Linked DNA regions of Drosophila melanogaster. The protein of the gene in region 2 interacts with the protein of the main gene of each other region in a pairwise test. Each region holds a gene or a part of one and is shown on either strand. Other genes may lie near its edges. The genes, in order: bowl, CG7991 and maca.

The links.
Region 1: the proteins of CG7991 (region 2) and bowl interact in a two-hybrid assay, tested with the Drosophila melanogaster proteins (one large-scale study listed by BioGRID).
Region 3: the proteins of CG7991 (region 2) and maca interact in a two-hybrid assay, tested with the Drosophila melanogaster proteins (one large-scale study listed by BioGRID).

Annotation. Positions count from the first base shown.
Region 1 is NT_033779.5:3,768,933-3,774,751, forward strand, and holds the start of bowl (brother of odd with entrails limited), read left to right. Parts: upstream 1-2,767; 5' UTR 2,768-2,941; intron 2,942-2,987; exon of another isoform or gene 2,988-3,083; intron 3,084-3,093; exon of another isoform or gene 3,094-3,384; intron 3,385-3,528; 5' UTR 3,529-3,762; intron 3,763-5,819. UniProt on the Drosophila melanogaster protein: Putative transcription factor. Required for leg joint formation, acting downstream of Notch to pattern the leg tarsal segments. Functions in the terminal pathway during embryogenesis, acting downstream of tll in the posterior of the embryo.
Region 2 is NT_037436.4:1,671,508-1,677,326, forward strand, and holds the start of CG7991 (uncharacterized protein), read left to right. Parts: upstream 1-3,201; 5' UTR 3,202-3,614; coding exon 3,615-3,660; intron 3,661-5,819. Other genes in the region: CG13930 (uncharacterized protein), read right to left, coding at 1-953, 1,016-1,198.
Region 3 is NT_033777.3:15,491,254-15,496,991, forward strand, and holds maca (maca), read left to right. Parts: upstream 1-3,348; 5' UTR 3,349-3,548; coding exon 3,549-4,304; 3' UTR 4,305-4,367; downstream 4,368-5,738. Other genes in the region: obe (obelus), read left to right, coding at 1-1,206, 1,268-1,732.

The DNA.
Region 1 (5,819 bases), on a different chromosome or scaffold from region 2:
TTTGTGAATAATAAATAACAACGGTTTTCGTCCTTATTGGAAACGATTATTAGTTAGACGCGATTACGATATAGGCCAGGATTAGTTAGCTTTTTGATATGTTGGATTTTTTTTAGGAAACACATTCATTCACAAGCATACACACACACATTACAACGTTCATAGTAGGTCAAACAATAATATAATAGCGATTAATTCGGAATCCAGTAGTTACTTTGTCATATAAAGATATGATCTTTAAAATGCTGATTTCCTGTTTTTTTGGGTCAGTGTTCAAATACCGAGATTGAGTGAGGATGCAACAATTTTGAAGCTTCTTTTCGTTTTTATTAATACGGTAACGAATATATATATATAAATATATATTTTATATATTTTAAATAGAGATTTCCAATTTGGCGAGGCGTAAAAAATTAGATAATAAATCTATGCATTATGATGATTATATGATATATACATAAGAGTCAGCCATTTTATGTTGTTACTCATCGAGTGGAAAACGAGACAGCAAAAACCTAACACAGAAAAAGGAAAAAAGAAAACTAAATAAGAGCTTTAATTATTAAATAAAAAATATACCAAGAACAAATGACAAATGTGCCTCTTGCTGACAGCCCGGGGGCATTGAAATGCATCTAAACATCATTAATTTGGCTCAACGATCCGATTCCCATTGGAACCCGATTCAGATTCGGATATGGTCCCAGGCCCAGCCCAAAAGTATCAAACACACCAGCTACCTGCTGGGGCCAACGAAGCATTTCGAATGCGATCAATGAACCTGTTGCTTTTGGCCCTCTAGCTACAAACTACCAGCTGAACTCCGAGTTGGCCACATGTTTTACACAAATTTCAAGTAATTTATTTTAAAATCGTAAAGCGATGCAAAATATGCAAGGAGGGAAGCCACTTCAACCGACGGGCACTCAGAAAAATCACAACGATCTTATGGTTCGCATTAGCATATATATCTTATTTGTACATCTTTATTTTAAGCAAAAAGAGCAAGGTAAGGGTTAGATATTAGATATTATTATTAAACAATAGTCAATTTCAATTTTATGTATTGTGGAATCCAATTATAAGGGAGACCAATTATGGTAATTATTTATTTTATTTCTTATTTACTTATTGTTATTTATATATGCTGAAAATTATTTTCCGAGTGCAGCAAGAGCAACAGTTGTTGATGGGGGAAGTCGACGACGACTAGCATAACAATTCGCTCGCCCTATGAGGCAGCTACCGTTTTTCCGTCTTCTCTTTTCTACCACTTATTTCTGGTCTTCTGCCTGTTGCCGCTTTGTATCTCCATTTCCACTTACTGTTTTTGCAGTGGCAGCAGCCACAATTTAGTTCCACTGTGCAGCACCTTAATTACATGGCTACGGACTCTCTTTTGTTGGGTACTTTTCGGGTTTTTCTTTTCTGCATCTCGGAATCATTACGACCATGATCACCGTCGTGGCCGAAACGTAACTCCCTCTACTTTTGGGACCCTAGCTGATTTTTGGTCTTTTTGTTAACGTCTTTTCTTTTACCACTTGACCGCATTGATGCTGCATTGCGAGCAGAGGTTGCCAGATTGTTAGAATAGAAATTTTACAGTCTATTATAATAATATAAGACCTATTTACATAGCCTAGCTCGAATCAATCATTTACCTATGTTTTATTTTTTTCCAAGTTCCCGTGCTCGCCTTCTTTTATAAGGACTAATTACCATTAATAAAAGTCAGTCTGGCGATAAGATGGTTTCTAGACTTATATTGTTTTACGACCTATTTCCATAAATGAATTGTATAACTCGGCTGCCGATTAATCATCAGTGTATATTTAAATACATATGTATAAATATTTTTCCCTAAAGCTACCAACTAATTATTCCAAATAAATATTTACTTATCAGTAGAACATTGGAACTTGTCATAATATAGATATATAGTCGTGTGAGTAATGCACTTTATTTCACCCCAACTTTCGACTTGGCAACCCCTTCTTCGAAGAAACCTTATCACCTTGCCTCCCTAAAAATGCTTTCTGATTAGTCATTCCCCTAAATGAAACCGCAACAAAAGCCGAAGAACAAAATACACCCCCACTAAAAAGGCATAACAATAAACAGGGAACTACCAGAGTTACACCCTCCTCCTCCTTTTCGGGTGAAGCCACCATAACGATCCATGGGCAGCAGCAGCAACGGCAATCTGGCAACACCCGGGCCAATTGTACCCTACCCTCTCGACTGGGCCAAAAAAAAAAAAGCAGTCGGTGGTAGTCGGTAGTCGGTCGGTAAACAGGTAGCGCTCTAACTGACAATAACTCGTCGTACGAATGCACGTTCCACGCTCCGCCAGTGCCAGTCTCCATATAAGTCCGTCCACGGGCCCATCCGTCCATTTAGCAGCGTGCGACTGGCGGCCGGTTGGGTTTGGGTTGAGTTCGGTTTAATTCCTCTCCTCCACTGAAAGAAATGTCGTACTATATTCAAACTGAATATAAGTTACTAGTTAATTCAGAAAAATATGTAAATGCATCCATTATTTATCTAGTATATTTAAGCAGATAGATTTATACTGTTGTTATTTACAGAAAATTAGAGCCTTACTCTTCAGATATTTAAGAATTGTTAAAACTTTTTCCACAGTGCACTAAGCTGGTTTTAGTGCCACTGCTCGCTACTCGTCGCTTGTCTCTTTCTACGCATTTCTCAGCCCGCGATTCTCTCGATTCTCTCTTTTTCCATTCGGGCCCTGTTTCTTGGGTTCGTGGCTCAGTCTTCGAGAGTTGATCGTGGCCAACGCACCTGCGCGCGGATCGCTGGTAATAGCTGTTGGAAAAGTGAACTGCATTGTGAGTGCCTCTCGCTCTATATCTATCTGTATCTTTCGCCGCCGATGTATCTTATTGAGCGGGCCCAGAGCGCTAGTGTGTGTGTGTGTGTGAGTGAACTTGTTGCATCGCCAGTTGCCTCGAGAAAAGCGCTTTTCAACTGCAACTGACTCTGTGTGTGGGAAGAGTTTGGGACTACTTGAGGAGCGAATTGGTAGCTGCACTGGCTTCAGCTCCTATTTCAAACAAAATGTAGAAAAACACATTTCAGCTGCCGTGTATCTCTCGTTCTCGTTCGGTTTTCAGTTCGTTGAGGTTGAGGTTTCGGTTCGGGTTTTTCTTCGTTCGGTTTTCATATCTGTGAGATACAAATACATCGTGTGTTTGTGCGCGAGTTGTACGTGGATTTTGGAAGGAAAAAAACTACGTGGTTTGTGGTAGCTGACTGCCGTTGATGCTGCTGCTGCTCCCGTAACCGCCCCCCTGCCGCCCCCTCAGCCCCACCCCCTGGGGCGATCGTGCCGTGATTTGAATCTCAAAATTGTCCCTTAGTGTGCGTGTTTTTTTAAATACATTTACTTGAGAATGATTCGGTGAAATACTTGTTAAAATTAAAATCAAACCTGAAAATATAACAAAAAATTTCCGACAAATATTTTGAAAATTTTAATAAAATTATTTACTTTTAAATTCACAGAATCGTATTAACAGAAGTCTTCAAACAAATACAACAAGAAAAAACAACATACAATTCAAGTGCCACTTAAATGATATAAATTACTACTTTAAAAACCAAAAACAATGCCAAGCATTTCAAAGCTTACAAACTGACAAAAAACCAGCAAAATCATATTGAAACAACTACTTGGATACTTTAGGACGCAAAGATAAAGCCCAAAGAGCCTGGGGCTTTCTTCTGTTTAACCCACAGGTAAGATTCCGCCGAGAACAGGCCCTGCCTTCCCAGATGAACACAAAAATTCCACACCACTTATTTTTACTTGTTTTATTTTTTGTTGTTTTTTTTTTTGTTTTCTGTTTGTGGCGTAGGGCTAGCTAATTACGTTTATTATTTTTTTATTTTGGTATTTTTTGCGTTGGCCAAAAAGGCAGCGAGTACAAAAATATAACGAGTACGCAGACAGAGAAGGAGAGAGAGAGAAAGACCCAAGATATATCTCAAAACCTGCTCCACAAATAGAATGAGACGGGGCGAAAAAACAGGAAAGAGAGCGCAACAACGTTGGCGGTTGGCGGACTGTCGACCGACAAGCGGCTTCCACTACAACTGCATGTGCCACTGTCATTGCCACTGAACTCAGTGTGGTGCCGCACAGTCCACGGTGGAGTACGTCCCCCATCCCCCCGCAAACTTCCCCACCATCCTGAACCACCCGCTTGCCCCATTGTTGTTGCTGTGGCGCTCAGTTCGAGTTGGTCGGTTCGAGCCGGACTCGAAAAACCTTCGCTTGGAATTCTGGGGGTCTCTTATGGGTGCTCTTGGTAAGGGTACTTCGTTTGAAAATGGTGTACACAATTTGTAAAATATTATTTAAAAATATTAATCGGTGTTAATAACGTTACATTTCTGAAAAACTTTAATTTTACAGAATTTCAAAGCATCGCGTTAGGTTTTAAAAATATATTTTACGAAATTTAGGCAAACTTAGTTTAATAAGCTGATAGTTTATAAGCTTCTTATTTATTCCAGTGTTTTTTTTTCAACAAGTCTACTCTAGTTTGATCTATAGTATTATTTACTTATTTTGCCTAGGGTATTAAGTGCATCGGCTTTATAGATCGTGATTTTTCACATGTTTCTTTCATTTCTGTTTCTTTTCTTTGTAAACCAGTTCACTTGTAGCCAGTGCCAGTGGCCAGTGGTCGCTCTCGCCGTCTTTTTCGCTCCTTCTCGGCTTGGAATCCGGTTTTTTTGGTTTTCTGTTTTCGGTTTTCGGTCGTGGTCGCTGTCTTAACTTGGCTCGATTCAGATTCGGAGCTCGGCTGGGGCTTTAATTGTCCAGAACGTGTGGCCAAAGAGGAAACGCAATTGCCGCAAGCTTCTGTTGGGTTCAGATACCGATTCGGATTCGGATTCAGCCTCAACCTCAGACCATCATCATCATCGTCATCTACATCTCTTGATTTCTTTTAAATGCTTTACTTTTTCCTTCATTTTTAAGCTTTTTTTTTGTAGAACGCCTCCCGCGCTCTCACAGTCTGAGTTATTATTATTTTTTTTTTGTATTTTTTGGTTGCGGTTCTATAAAGTTATTGGCTTTTGTTTCGCCTCAGTGGAGATCTATTTTGGATATTCATTGTCTTGCTTTATGGGCCATTTGGTTTTGTGTCCAAAAAGAGTTTTAGCATAAGAAAGGGAGTACCATAAAAGTTTATTACGCTTTACCTCTTTGGGTGGGTTTTCCTCTCCATCTTGGGCCACCAACTATCATTTTTCGGTTGCACCAGCAGCAGGGGAAAATGTTGCTGGTAATTGCCTTGTGGCAGGAAAATTGAAATCGAAATTAATTAAAATCGTGACAAAATACTTGATGAATTTAGATTTACCATAAAACCGCAGAACAATGGCTCGTTAGGGATCGCCATATTCGGGTTTTAAATTGAAATGGCTATATGGACACGCCTCGTTTTGGCACGTGTGTATAATTCACCTGATAGACCAGTTCATTTATTGTTGTTCTGGAACGGGAACTCATCAATTTTGATGGGGAAATTAGATGTTGTCTAGGGAATATGAATTTTTAATGCTATCAATGAAATCAGACAGCGGAAAGGTGATTATCAGTTTACATGTTTAGTTTTGGGCTGGGTTCCAAAAGTTGTCGAAGAAAAAAATATATAAATAATTTGTACCAAGATTTGTGTGCAATTAGCATAATCCAATTGCATTTGAATTAATAAATCATAGTCTTAGTGCTTCTACACTTATTAGCATAAACTCTTCCAATAAATAAGAATTGACCCATT
Region 2 (5,819 bases):
CCAGAAATATCCCTAACCTCCACACCTCCGTTGTGCAGTCCAATGGCCAGCAGTTGCGGTTGGGTGGGTGAAAACTCCACGGTGACCACAGGCACTTGGTAGTGGTAGCGTCGTTCCGGATTCACAGGGTTCTTGATGTTCCACACGTAGACCCAGCCGGATCTGGGTAACTTGCTGACCTTGCCGTGGCTGTACACCCCGTAGGCCACCGCCATGATGTCCCCATTGCTGGGACAGAAGCTCATGTCGCTCACCGCTTGATGAACCTTGGGATCCGACGAGGGGGGGCTCAGTCGCCACAGCAGGCCCAGTCGGTACTTGAACTTGACGTCCTCGGCCAAGGGATCTGGAGGAGCCATGTTCCTGTACCTCCGTTGCTGCGGCTCGAAGACATTGCTGGCCAAGATGCGCATGGTCAGCATGAGGGCCAGTCGAAAGCCGGGCAGGCAGTTGATCCCCACGAACTGATCCACCCCGCCCACGTGGTAGGTGGTTATCTCCATCTTCTTCGCGCCCTGCACCTGGACACTCGTGGTGGACTTCTCCAGGTCGGTGTACGTGTCGTACATCTCGAAGTTGGACACATAGGAACCCATCTGGGCGGTGGTCAGCCGCTCGGTGTTCACCAGCCTGGACTTCATCAGCGCCGTCATGGTTTGGGTGTCCGCATCGACGGTTCTCCGCGTTTTGTCCGTTCCCGAGAGCAGTTCGTCGTACTTCCGGTTGTCCTCCATCACCTGGCGACCCTCCTCCGTGTCCGCCAAGGCGGTCATGCTGCGCCGTTCGAATAGCACCACGATGGGAGTCTTTCGGAGCAGCACCTTGATGAAGGGCGTGGCTGGAGGACGGGCGGAGTGGGCGGAGCGGGCGGAGGAAGCAGGCTCCTTCAGATAATTCGGTTCCTCCAGAGTGGGCGACATGGGCGTGTCCAGCTGCAGCTTGTAAAGATTGATCTGGCGAATAAACATACTGTATGGCTTGATTTCTTTGGACATTAAGGATGATAGGCACTCACCCCCAAGGCAATGTCATCCAAGGAAGCTCTCATCACGCACTTCGTTCGGTACTCCGGCGTACGGAGCTTATGGAGTTGCTGCTGCTCCGCTCCGGGCTCCTTCATCAGCGGATGGTCCCTAATCATCCTGCTCAGTTGCTCGAAGTCCGCGGTGCGGTAATCCTTCCTCAAAGGTCGCGACATCCTTCTCAATTAATTTGAATGAGCGCGTGCCGCCGATTTCCCAACTTGTTTACTGCGTGTGCAGACATGGCAACGCAACAATGGTGGATACAATATATGGGTGCCATAACTACCAAGTGCTGTAGTTGCACTCCGATTGCAACACGGAATTCCATTAGCAGGCTCACACATGACTGCACTCATTGCGTCCATAAATATTTATAACTCACATTTAAATCGCGCAACAAAAGTGCATAATAAGTGGGTTGGTAAGCAAAAACGTATATTTAAATATGAATGTAGTTCCAGTTGTGCAATGAAGATGAAGCCACCATAGTCTAACATCAATTTGGATCATTACCTTTAGTGATTCCAATAATTTGCGCGGCTTTCTGACCTGTCACAAGAAAAATCCCCCAACCGGAGAAAAGCAAAACAAACTATAAACTACAAAATACAAACTACAAACTACCAACAAATGAAATTCGTATTCATATTCCAATTAGACAGTAGAAGAATAGCAGACGGAAAATAGTTAGATGGTATATGGTAAAAAGGTCTTTAATTCCGCCACATAGCCGCATAGGAAATGGGCAAAAGATGGGATGAGGAGGAGCACTTGGCCATGTGGGCGATTGAGAGCAGCAAGCCGTGCAGCACACTGAACGAAAATAAGATCGGGTTAAGAATGAAATATGATTAGGTTAAGTGCTCACAGCAAAGAAATGTATCTACAGAGAAATTATTTCAACATGAATCCCAAACTATAAATATGACAATCTTAATTTGAAGATAGCTTGTAATAATCAAAGCGATTTTCCGTGTATAGAAGATATGGAAGTCGAAAAGAAGTTGTTTATGTTAATTTGGCTTTATGCTTCGCTACGCTGATTCGCTTGATGAACATATAGCAAAAAAGAGGGCTGATTATGAGGACGACGACGACGACGACGACGATGACGATGATGATGAGGGGGCCCAAACCGAGCGAATATGGCCAAGTGCACTATGTCAAACGGAGGGGCACACGGCAAGCGGGCAACTGATGGCCAAGAAGAACAAACCATCAAACCGTCAACGCATCAAAGCGTTAAGTAATAAATGTGCAGGCAGCCAGCGAAAAGAAAGAGTTAAGAGCAAAAAAAAAAAAACAAATCCAAGCGGGCTATAAACAATAGTCGCCTGTCTTGCAGGTTGCGTGCATTTTGAACTCTGCACGAGCCAACGATCGTTGTTGTTGGCCGATTTGGCCAGACTCTTGTTGTTGCTGTTACACATTTTGGGGGCAGCAACAACCACCTACAGTCAGCGAAATTCAGTGAACCGCCACCAACGCGACGCCAACTGCGACGCCGGCGGCGACTGCGCAGTCAGCGCCACACTGAATTACATCTTTGAGGTGTTGAAAAATATTAATAATATTTTAAAATTACACTTTAAGTTTAAGACTCAGTTCTGTGATAGCTTTTTAATGGACTAACCCAGCTTGTAAGCAAGCTGATACCACTGATGTAACTACCTTTTAACTCCAGCCAGTTGTTAGCCATGTTTGTCCAGTGTTTGTGAGATAATTAATAATTTTGTCGCCAGCCCGCAAGAAACGAGTCTGCGGAGTGGACCCTGTTTTGAAAAGTGAAATAAAACGCCACTTTTTACGAACATCTAATTGTGTCCGCACCCTGGAAACCCATAAAACGCGCCATCTCCATCTCGATCCAGCCCATGGGCTGGCTATTAGCCATATGTCGCTCGCATTCAGATCGTCTGGGCTTCTTACACCTGTTTTATGTCCCCACTGGCCCCAATGTGCGACGACTGCCCCTTTCGGAGCGTCGACTGCGCCGCCCGGCGTTTCGGTGTAACACATTTTCAGTTCGTTTCCATTGTGGCAGGGAGCGCGGAAGACCAGCGAGCCAGCGAGCCAGCGCGCCAGACGAGAAGAGCTGGCGGCAGAGCGAGCTCAAGTCGAGCTCGGAGGTTTTTTTTCGAGGCAGCGGAGCGACTTTTTATTCGTTAATTAACCGTCGAGCGGGCCAGAAGTCCGAGTTGCTCGGCTTAACGGAAGTGCTGAAATCGGGCGGCTAATTGAGCACACCTCGCCTCCAGTTGACACCTGAGACACCTGAGGGAAAAAACGAATTGAAACCACTCCACATAGCTCGGGTCATAACTTTCCTCGCTGGCCGGCTGCTAATGTCTCAATTTGTTGTGCGCGTTGGGCAAGTGCAGTTGCCATTCAGCCGTGGCTGTATCTGAAAGATACAATTCGGGAGAGCTCGGTTCCTGAGTGATTCGAAGTTTATGCTAATCAGCTGTGTTGCTCCGCGAGAGGGATCATTTCGCCATAGACCCACACCCGCATAGCCAGTGATCACATAACGAAATAACGAAACCAATCAGCAGACGATCTTATCAGCGCCAAAAGAGGAGGAACACAATGTTGTTTTGGAAGAGGCGTCTTCAGCGATCGAGCAGCTCTTCGAGTAAGTCCCCGTTTCTATATGGCCAAGTTTGTGGGAATGGTGGTAATGGGGGACGGGGGACGGGACCACGCCTCCAACGATTGGGCAACAAGAAATATGATTTCGCCGGGCAGGTGAATTTCGATTTTCGGTCCAGTGACAAGCTCGAATATTTTGGCCTCGACTCATCTGCATAATTTGCATCTTAAGCATTATTTCTGGCTGTGCCCAGCGACTGGTTTATTGATTTTATTTCAGTGCTTCCCTGGCCAAGATCGTAAATTCACCCCGCTGGGCTTCATCACCCACAAAAGACTTGGACAAATACAAATGGGAGCGCGAGCCACGCGGGACATGAATAATAGCTCATATCTGGCCATCGAAATTCTCGCCGAGGTGTTCCCTTTGTGGATGACGATTGCCCAGAGATTTATGAATGGATTTAATGTGTTTAGCATAATTATGCAGATCGCCGTGTAGAAGATAATATCTCACTAGGTTTGGTTTCAAGCGTAAACACTTGGGATGGAAGTGGAAAGATTTGACACATTCACGATCAGTCGGATAAAGATTTGATGGTCTTAAGGGGCTTGGGAAGAATGGGTTTACTAACCAATATGATTATAGTGTGGTCAACACATTGTACCCTAATCCCCCACTTGAATCCCTCTCCTTCCTTTGAAAACCCATGGCCCGCAGTCAGGTGTCATAACAGATTTGTCCCGATGGCCAACAAGGTGGCCAACTGCTATCGAGCATCGCATTGAAAACTGTCCCTTTTCCCCACATTCCTGTGGTTACTCTTCGTCTTCTCCCATCCCATCCCATCTGCTCCATAACTTTCCAACCAAGTGCCGACTATGTGTCTCATTCGCTGTATCTCAGTTCTGAGCTCTCGGGGTTTATTTGGGATCAAAAACATGACTTTGACTTGTGGTAATGTGATGTTAATGACAATCATCAGCAGCGACACAAGCAATAACAACGCAGGCAGAACGAGGAGGAGCAGGAGTAGGAGTAGGTGACATCCACACCACCGCCACATGAAAGCAGTAGTCCCAGTAGTGGGTAGCCCCGCCTCCTGAGCCGCGGAGCACGCCTAACACGATTCCGGAGATCGGACATCTCTGCCAGCGACATTTATTTTATGTGCGTTCCGTTCCCGAAAGTCGTGGCCCATAATCGGCTTACCCAGAGTTCTTGGCTCTACCATACCGCAGTTGACACTTCTGGCTATTTGGTTCGCTTAGTTCGTGCCCGGAGTCTTCTGTTTTTATAGAAGCTGCCCATCAAGTTGCAGGTTTAATGGTCGCTTGTGGCCCAGTGCCGCATCGAAAAATGAGTTCGGCGTTTTGTTGTGACATTTTAATGGCCTGACCGAGCTCCATTCCCCACCGCCGAGATGGTTATCAATATTACAAAATAGTTTTCGGCTTTCGGTGGAAGCGTGCTGGATGGGATTGGAATGGTAAACAGTGTCTGGAGAATTATCTGAAACCTAAGACGATGAGCAAGGTGGAACAATTTAAATTACCATAAATCAAAACCCACAGATATACTGTGTAAGAAGTGTAGAAACATAAGTTCCAATTGAGAGTTTCTCACCGAGTTTAGTCGAGCTCTATTTGGGGCACTCCATTTGCAAGTGGCTTAATTCCCATAAATTCCGTTTGTAGATCTTTCACTTGACCGGACTGCGTCCCCCTTTGAGACCCACTTAGCCCACATCTTTGGGTCAGTCCTACACTTTCCGCGCATTCCACGAGCTCGGACCTCGAAAATTGTCTGCAAATTGCTCATAAATTACATGAAAACCGTCGCAATGCCAAAAGCTGCACCTACACCATCATTATCAGCTTGTAAATAAAAAGACTTTATCAATCGTTAAGCCGCGGGCGCAGACTCGCCATCCGGAGCCCGCGTCCGGGATCCAAGATCTCACCTCATAACATAACATAAAAGTCGTCCGGGTGGAAGGAGATGAGATGAAGATGGAGCGAAGGTGGATGCCCATTCCCATTCCCAATCCCATTCCCATCCTCATTCCAGGGCAAAACCCTGGCTCCGCTGCGGTCAAGTACAAATATTTTTATTTATGATTTTACAGATCAGCATATTGCTCAATAATTTCACCGCACCGGCAACAAAATAACTTTCAAATTACGCCTGCCGAGGATCCT
Region 3 (5,738 bases), on a different chromosome or scaffold from region 2:
GGTCTACATCACGCCGGTTTGCAGGAACAGGATCGAAAGTGTGTTGAGGAGCTGTTCCTCAATAGGAAGATCCAGATCCTGGTGGCCACAGCCACACTGGCGTGGGGCGTTAATTTGCCAGCTCATCTGGTGGTGATCAAAGGTACCGAATACTTTGACGGGAAGGTGAAGAAGTACGTGGACATGCCCATTACCGACGTGCTTCAAATGATGGGACGAGCCGGACGGCCGCAGTTCGACAATGAAGGTGTGGCCGTCGTTCTGGTGCACGACGAAAAGAAGAATTTCTACAAAAAGTTTCTGTACGATCCATTCCCGGTAGAGTCCAGTCTGCTGGGAGTGCTACCGGAGCACATAAACGCTGAAATCGTTGCTGGAACTGTTCAGTCAAAGCAGGCCGCTCTGGATTATCTTACGTGGACGTACTTCTTCAGGAGATTGCTCCGAAACCCGTCGTATTACCAACTGCAGGACATAGAACCGGAGAATGTAAATAACTTTATGTCCAATCTGGTTGAGCGCGTGGTCTATGAGCTTTCTGCCGCTGCCTGTCTGGTGGAGCGCGATGGATGTCTGATACCAACATTCTTGGGGCGAATCAGTTCCTATTACTACCTGTCGTACCGCACAATGAAGCATTTCCTGGAGGATTTGCAGCCTGGCATGAACACCAAGAAAGTTCTCCTCGCCATAGCCGATTCCTATGAATTTGATCAGCTGCCTGTTCGGCACAACGAGGATAAGCACAATGAGGAAATGGCTGAAGTAAGCCGCTTTAGACCGCCCTCATCGTCTTGGGATTCTTCGTACACCAAGACTTTCCTGCTACTCCAGGCCCACTTTGCACGGCAGTCCCTTCCGAATTCGGATTACCTAACAGACACAAAGTCGGCTCTGGACAACGCCACTCGAGTGATGCAAGCCATGGTGGACTACACAGCGGAGCGGGGATGGCTCTCGACGACTCTGGTTGTGCAGCAACTGATGCAGAGCGTCATTCAGGCCCGATGGTTCGACGGTAGTGAGTTCCTAACGTTGCCAGGAGTGAACGAGGACAATCTCGATGCCTTTTTGAACATACCACACGATGACTATGACTACTTAACACTACCCGTGCTGAAGGAGCTGTGCAAACAAGAGTACGAAGTACTGGCGAAGCCACTGCGAGATGCCTTCGAGGAGCACGAGATCGAAAAGATGTATAAGGTACGATTCGAATTAACCAAATTGCTGAACGATATTCAAATGGTACTTTAAACATTTCCAGGTAATCCAAGACTTGCCCGAGATAGCAATTCAAATATTCGTAGAGGGTCGGCATATGGAGAATGAGTATGCCAAGCGACCGCTCTCACTTTCTGATGACACGAGGGGCGAATGGATGTCCCTGCATGCCAATGAGGACTACGTTCTCATAGTAAACTTGCAGCGGCTTAATGTCAGTGGACAGCGAAGAGGTGGTGGACAAAGCTACACGGTGCACTGCCCCAAGTATCCAAAGCCCAAGAATGAAGCGTGGTTCCTGACCCTGGGCTCCCAGGCCAACGACGAGCTCCTCGCCATGAAGCGTGTATCCATTCGCGGACAGCGCTGCACCAACCGCATTTCGTTCCAGGCAACTCCGCGACTTGGACGTCTACAGCTTACGCTTTATTTAATGTCCGACTGCCTTATGGGCTTTGACCAGCAGTACGACCTGCAATTCGAGATCATTGATGCAAAAGAAGTCTAAGGGCCCTACTAGAGATTAAATCTAAAGTGTACCGTAGCATTCTGTAGAGTTGAGGCTTAACTTTTAGTTAATGGAGTTCATATCGCCTATGAACGTTTTCCACAATCACTGTTATCACCTAGAGTTCGTAGTAAAACTGAACTTGCGTATTTATTGTGTGATCCTCCAAGACATGTATAACATTTTTATCATTAGTAACTTGCTTCGAGACGAAGCTCCTTTGTTAGCCAACCATGTAGCACCTACATGCATGAATCACTTTCTATGAATTTATGAAGTAACTATTTTTATTGTGTAAAGTTAATAAAATTTGTATTGAAAGCGCAGCTATGTTTTTCAATTTAATTTTTTTATGTGATCAATATAAATACCACTTAGCCATCCATAACTATCGACATGTTAACTACATTTATTCTACGTGGCACAGTGGCGGCACCTAACGTTCACTTGTATAATGAAGAAAATAGTTCATGGTGCGTGTCAAAAAGGAAACGTACCAAGAGACAGCATTAAATAAAACTTTTATTAGTATTAATTGATTTATATAATTCTAAGTTGGGTGATGACAAAGTAAGCTAAGAAAGTTAAGAATGATAAAATAAAAAAATAAAACAGGTTAAACAGCTTTAAGCCTATATGCATAGTAATAATTAGTTGTTAAGACCGAAATAGGCTTTTTAAATAGTCCCAATATTCCAGTCAGAAACGTTTTTCGCTGTGAAAATATGTAAACGACCCACCTCATCCGAATGTATTTCTACGTGCGCCGTCTTTTAATGGCGGGTTTTATCCGAGTCCTGACCATTTCTGGACGCTTCTGCACTCCTGCCCTTCTGCCCCACACATGGCGCTGAGAAATGAAAGCATATTCAAGTGATTAATGCAGATGGCCACCACATCGGGCAAATGCGGATCCGCTGGTCCCCGGGGAGTCGCCGACTAGGATAAGGAGCTGGCCTCCTCCCACAGCAGTCGAGTAATTAAACTTGATTAATTGTCTAGTCAGCATGAAGGTAAAAATCGGCGTAGCCAAGATAAACGAAACGGAAATGGAAATTAATTAATATGAGGCTAAGTAAAACAAAAAGAAATAATGAACAAGTTTACTTTGGCAATAAACAAAGGAACATTCAATGATCCAATCGATGGGCCTCGAGTGCCATGTCGGTTCCCCAAATCGCACAATACTCGTATCCAATTTAATTTTCACCTGCACACTTTTTACATTCCTCTGTGCAGTGCTCCACCTTCGAATCGCAATGTCGAAATTCCATAATCAGCAAACAAATAAATAAACAGCTGGAAAACTTTTCAAAAACTTTTGCACCTTGTGCACATAAAGGGTTTCATTTTGTCTTGGCACGCAAACTTCTCAGCCAAATCAGCGATTTCGCAAGGCGGAATTTATTTAATTTGCATACGTATTTATGTGTTAAATAGTTCTTTAATGCAGATGAAGTTTTATTGTATTTATTCAAATAGAATTTAAGTTAAGTTCAATTCAAGGCAGCCAACTCTTGACACCACGTAAGTTGACAAAAGTATAAATGTATTAGTGTTGGTAAATAACCAAGTAATTGTTGACCAAAGCTATCCTGTTTGTCATGGAAGTCATTGTCAAACACATTCTGAAAAAAAACTTTTAACATTTGGAAGGGCAGCTTTGCAGTATTTTTAGAATTTTCAGTCAATTTGGGATATTATAATCATTCTAAAATTTTCTACGCCAAGTGTTTCATTTGGATCCCATTCCGAAGAAAGCATAAGATCTCTGCGGTCATCTTTCACCTTTGCTTCTATCTATAGCGCAGAGAAAATGACCAAGAAGGAGTCATCCGTCCCGACGCTATGTTGGGGATACGCCGGGATACGCGGCATGTTCCAAACTGGAAGACCAGTGGATCCGCCCCCTCCTCTCCCTAATTTGCGGATGAAGACGAACCTGATCCTCAACTACCTTCCGCAGGACATGACGGAGTCTGAGCTGCACCGTCTCTTCTCCAAGTTCGGTGAGATCCGCAAGGCCAAGATCATCCGCCACCGCAGGACTGGCATAAGCTGTTGCTACGGATTCGTCGACTACGTGTCGGAACGCCAGGCGGCTGCTGCCGTGAATGGCATGGATGGCTACGAGACTCGCGGCAAGCGACTGAAAGTGGCCTTCGCCCGACCTTCGGAATATGAAAGCACCAGCTCCAGCCTGTACGTGGGGAACCTGCCCACGTACATGGATGAGAAGAAGGTACGAGAACTCTTCGCCACCTACGGCAACATCGTGGATGTGAACTTGCTGCGCCACAAGTTCAACAATAGGTCCCGTGGCGTGGCCTTCTTGCAATTTGAGTTGGTCCGCGACGCCGAGGTGGCCAAGTACGGCATGGATCGGTACATGATCGAAGGCGCCTCCCGGCCCCTGACGGTCAAGTTCGTGGAGCGCGAGAAAAAAGGCTCGAGTTCTACCTCCAGTGGCTCCCAGTATAAGGACAAGCGTAAATCTTCCCCACCACCCTACAAGCGTCGCGAGAGGACGAACGATCATCATGTGTCTAAGCGTTCTCGAGATTCGGACTAATCATTATGCGTATTTTTGATAGAACTTGCTGATTAATTTGATTAATATATATATAGAACCTGTAAGGAACACCTTTTTTTAAACCTCAGCTGAAGAACAAATTGTGATTTTGCACTTTTGTCGTATACTCAATTTCCTTTAGGTAGTCCGGTCCAATTAATTTTGGTCTTAACGCATTCGTTCGGTTATGCATTTGGCTGCCCTCTGATTTTGGCCTTACATAAATAATTCATTAAATTGCCGCAGGAGCTGGGCTTATCGTTCGCAAACAAGCCACTCCTACGGACATGAGATCCTCGGCTCCTAAAAAGCATTAACAGCTTTATCAGTCGCCTGGTAACCTCGATTTAGCCAGGGGCCACCAGTTGGCCAAAAAAGGTGCGGAGCGTCCGATTCGGTTTCGGTTTCGGGTTTTGATTTCGATTGCGGGATGCATGCAAAGGATTGGCGGTTCAAATAAATAATGAAAACAAAGGGCGCATAAATATTTGAAGATCGCAAACCGAATGAACCGAAACGACTTACGAAAGTAGGTGGGAAACAAGTGAATTGAAAATTATTTCCAATTCGTTTGCTTTTCTCATTATAATTGAGGCGCAAAGTTGCCCCTGCATCTCGGAATCGGTATCTCCTCCTCCGGTTACCCAGCTGGTATCCCCTTCGACTGCTGCTCTTGTTTCAGTCTCTGGTTCCAGTTCAGATTTAACTTACAGATTTTGCTTTACAAGGACCCTTCATGCACGACTGTGGTATGCACTTTTGACGGTCACAGTTTAAATGAAGTTACATAAACTCTGGGTTGGATTCGGCAATAAAATATGGAGGATTTTGCCAATAACTACATTTTTATATAGGGTTGTATGGGTTGTGTTGCTCTTTTGAATTAATGTGCCTCCTGGACTTCCTATTTTGCATAAAAGCACGCTTAATACATAAAATTTTAAAGAAAATCAGTTGTTTAAAGCTTAGAGAAAATCGTTCGCTTTGTAAAAACTAGAATTTTATGAAAAATGTGTGTATATACCCAAACAACAAAGCATAATGAAACCTAAAAATGAGAACAATTGAGTTCCAGTCTCATCTTGTGTTGGAAATGCAAATCAAATTTTCACATCCCTTTTGTTTACAGTTTTCATTTCATTTTTCTTGGAACAGTTGAGTTCTTCCCTAGTTGCGTTAGGAAAAAAAAGGAGGAGACCTCCAAGAAAAAGGGCTGCAGCCTCTTGATAAGCAGATTATACGCTTTTCATCATTTTCATTCCTTTTTTTTACTTGGCGTTCTGGCTGCGAGTGTTTCGGGGATTTCCTTTTTCCATCTTGCCTCGTGTTGTATTGTCTTATTGACATTTGTGGCATATTGTTTTCAACAGAAGTTTTTATAAAATGTTTTATGTTTAAATTATTTCCAATCCTAAGAAAAGCCTTCAATTCGCA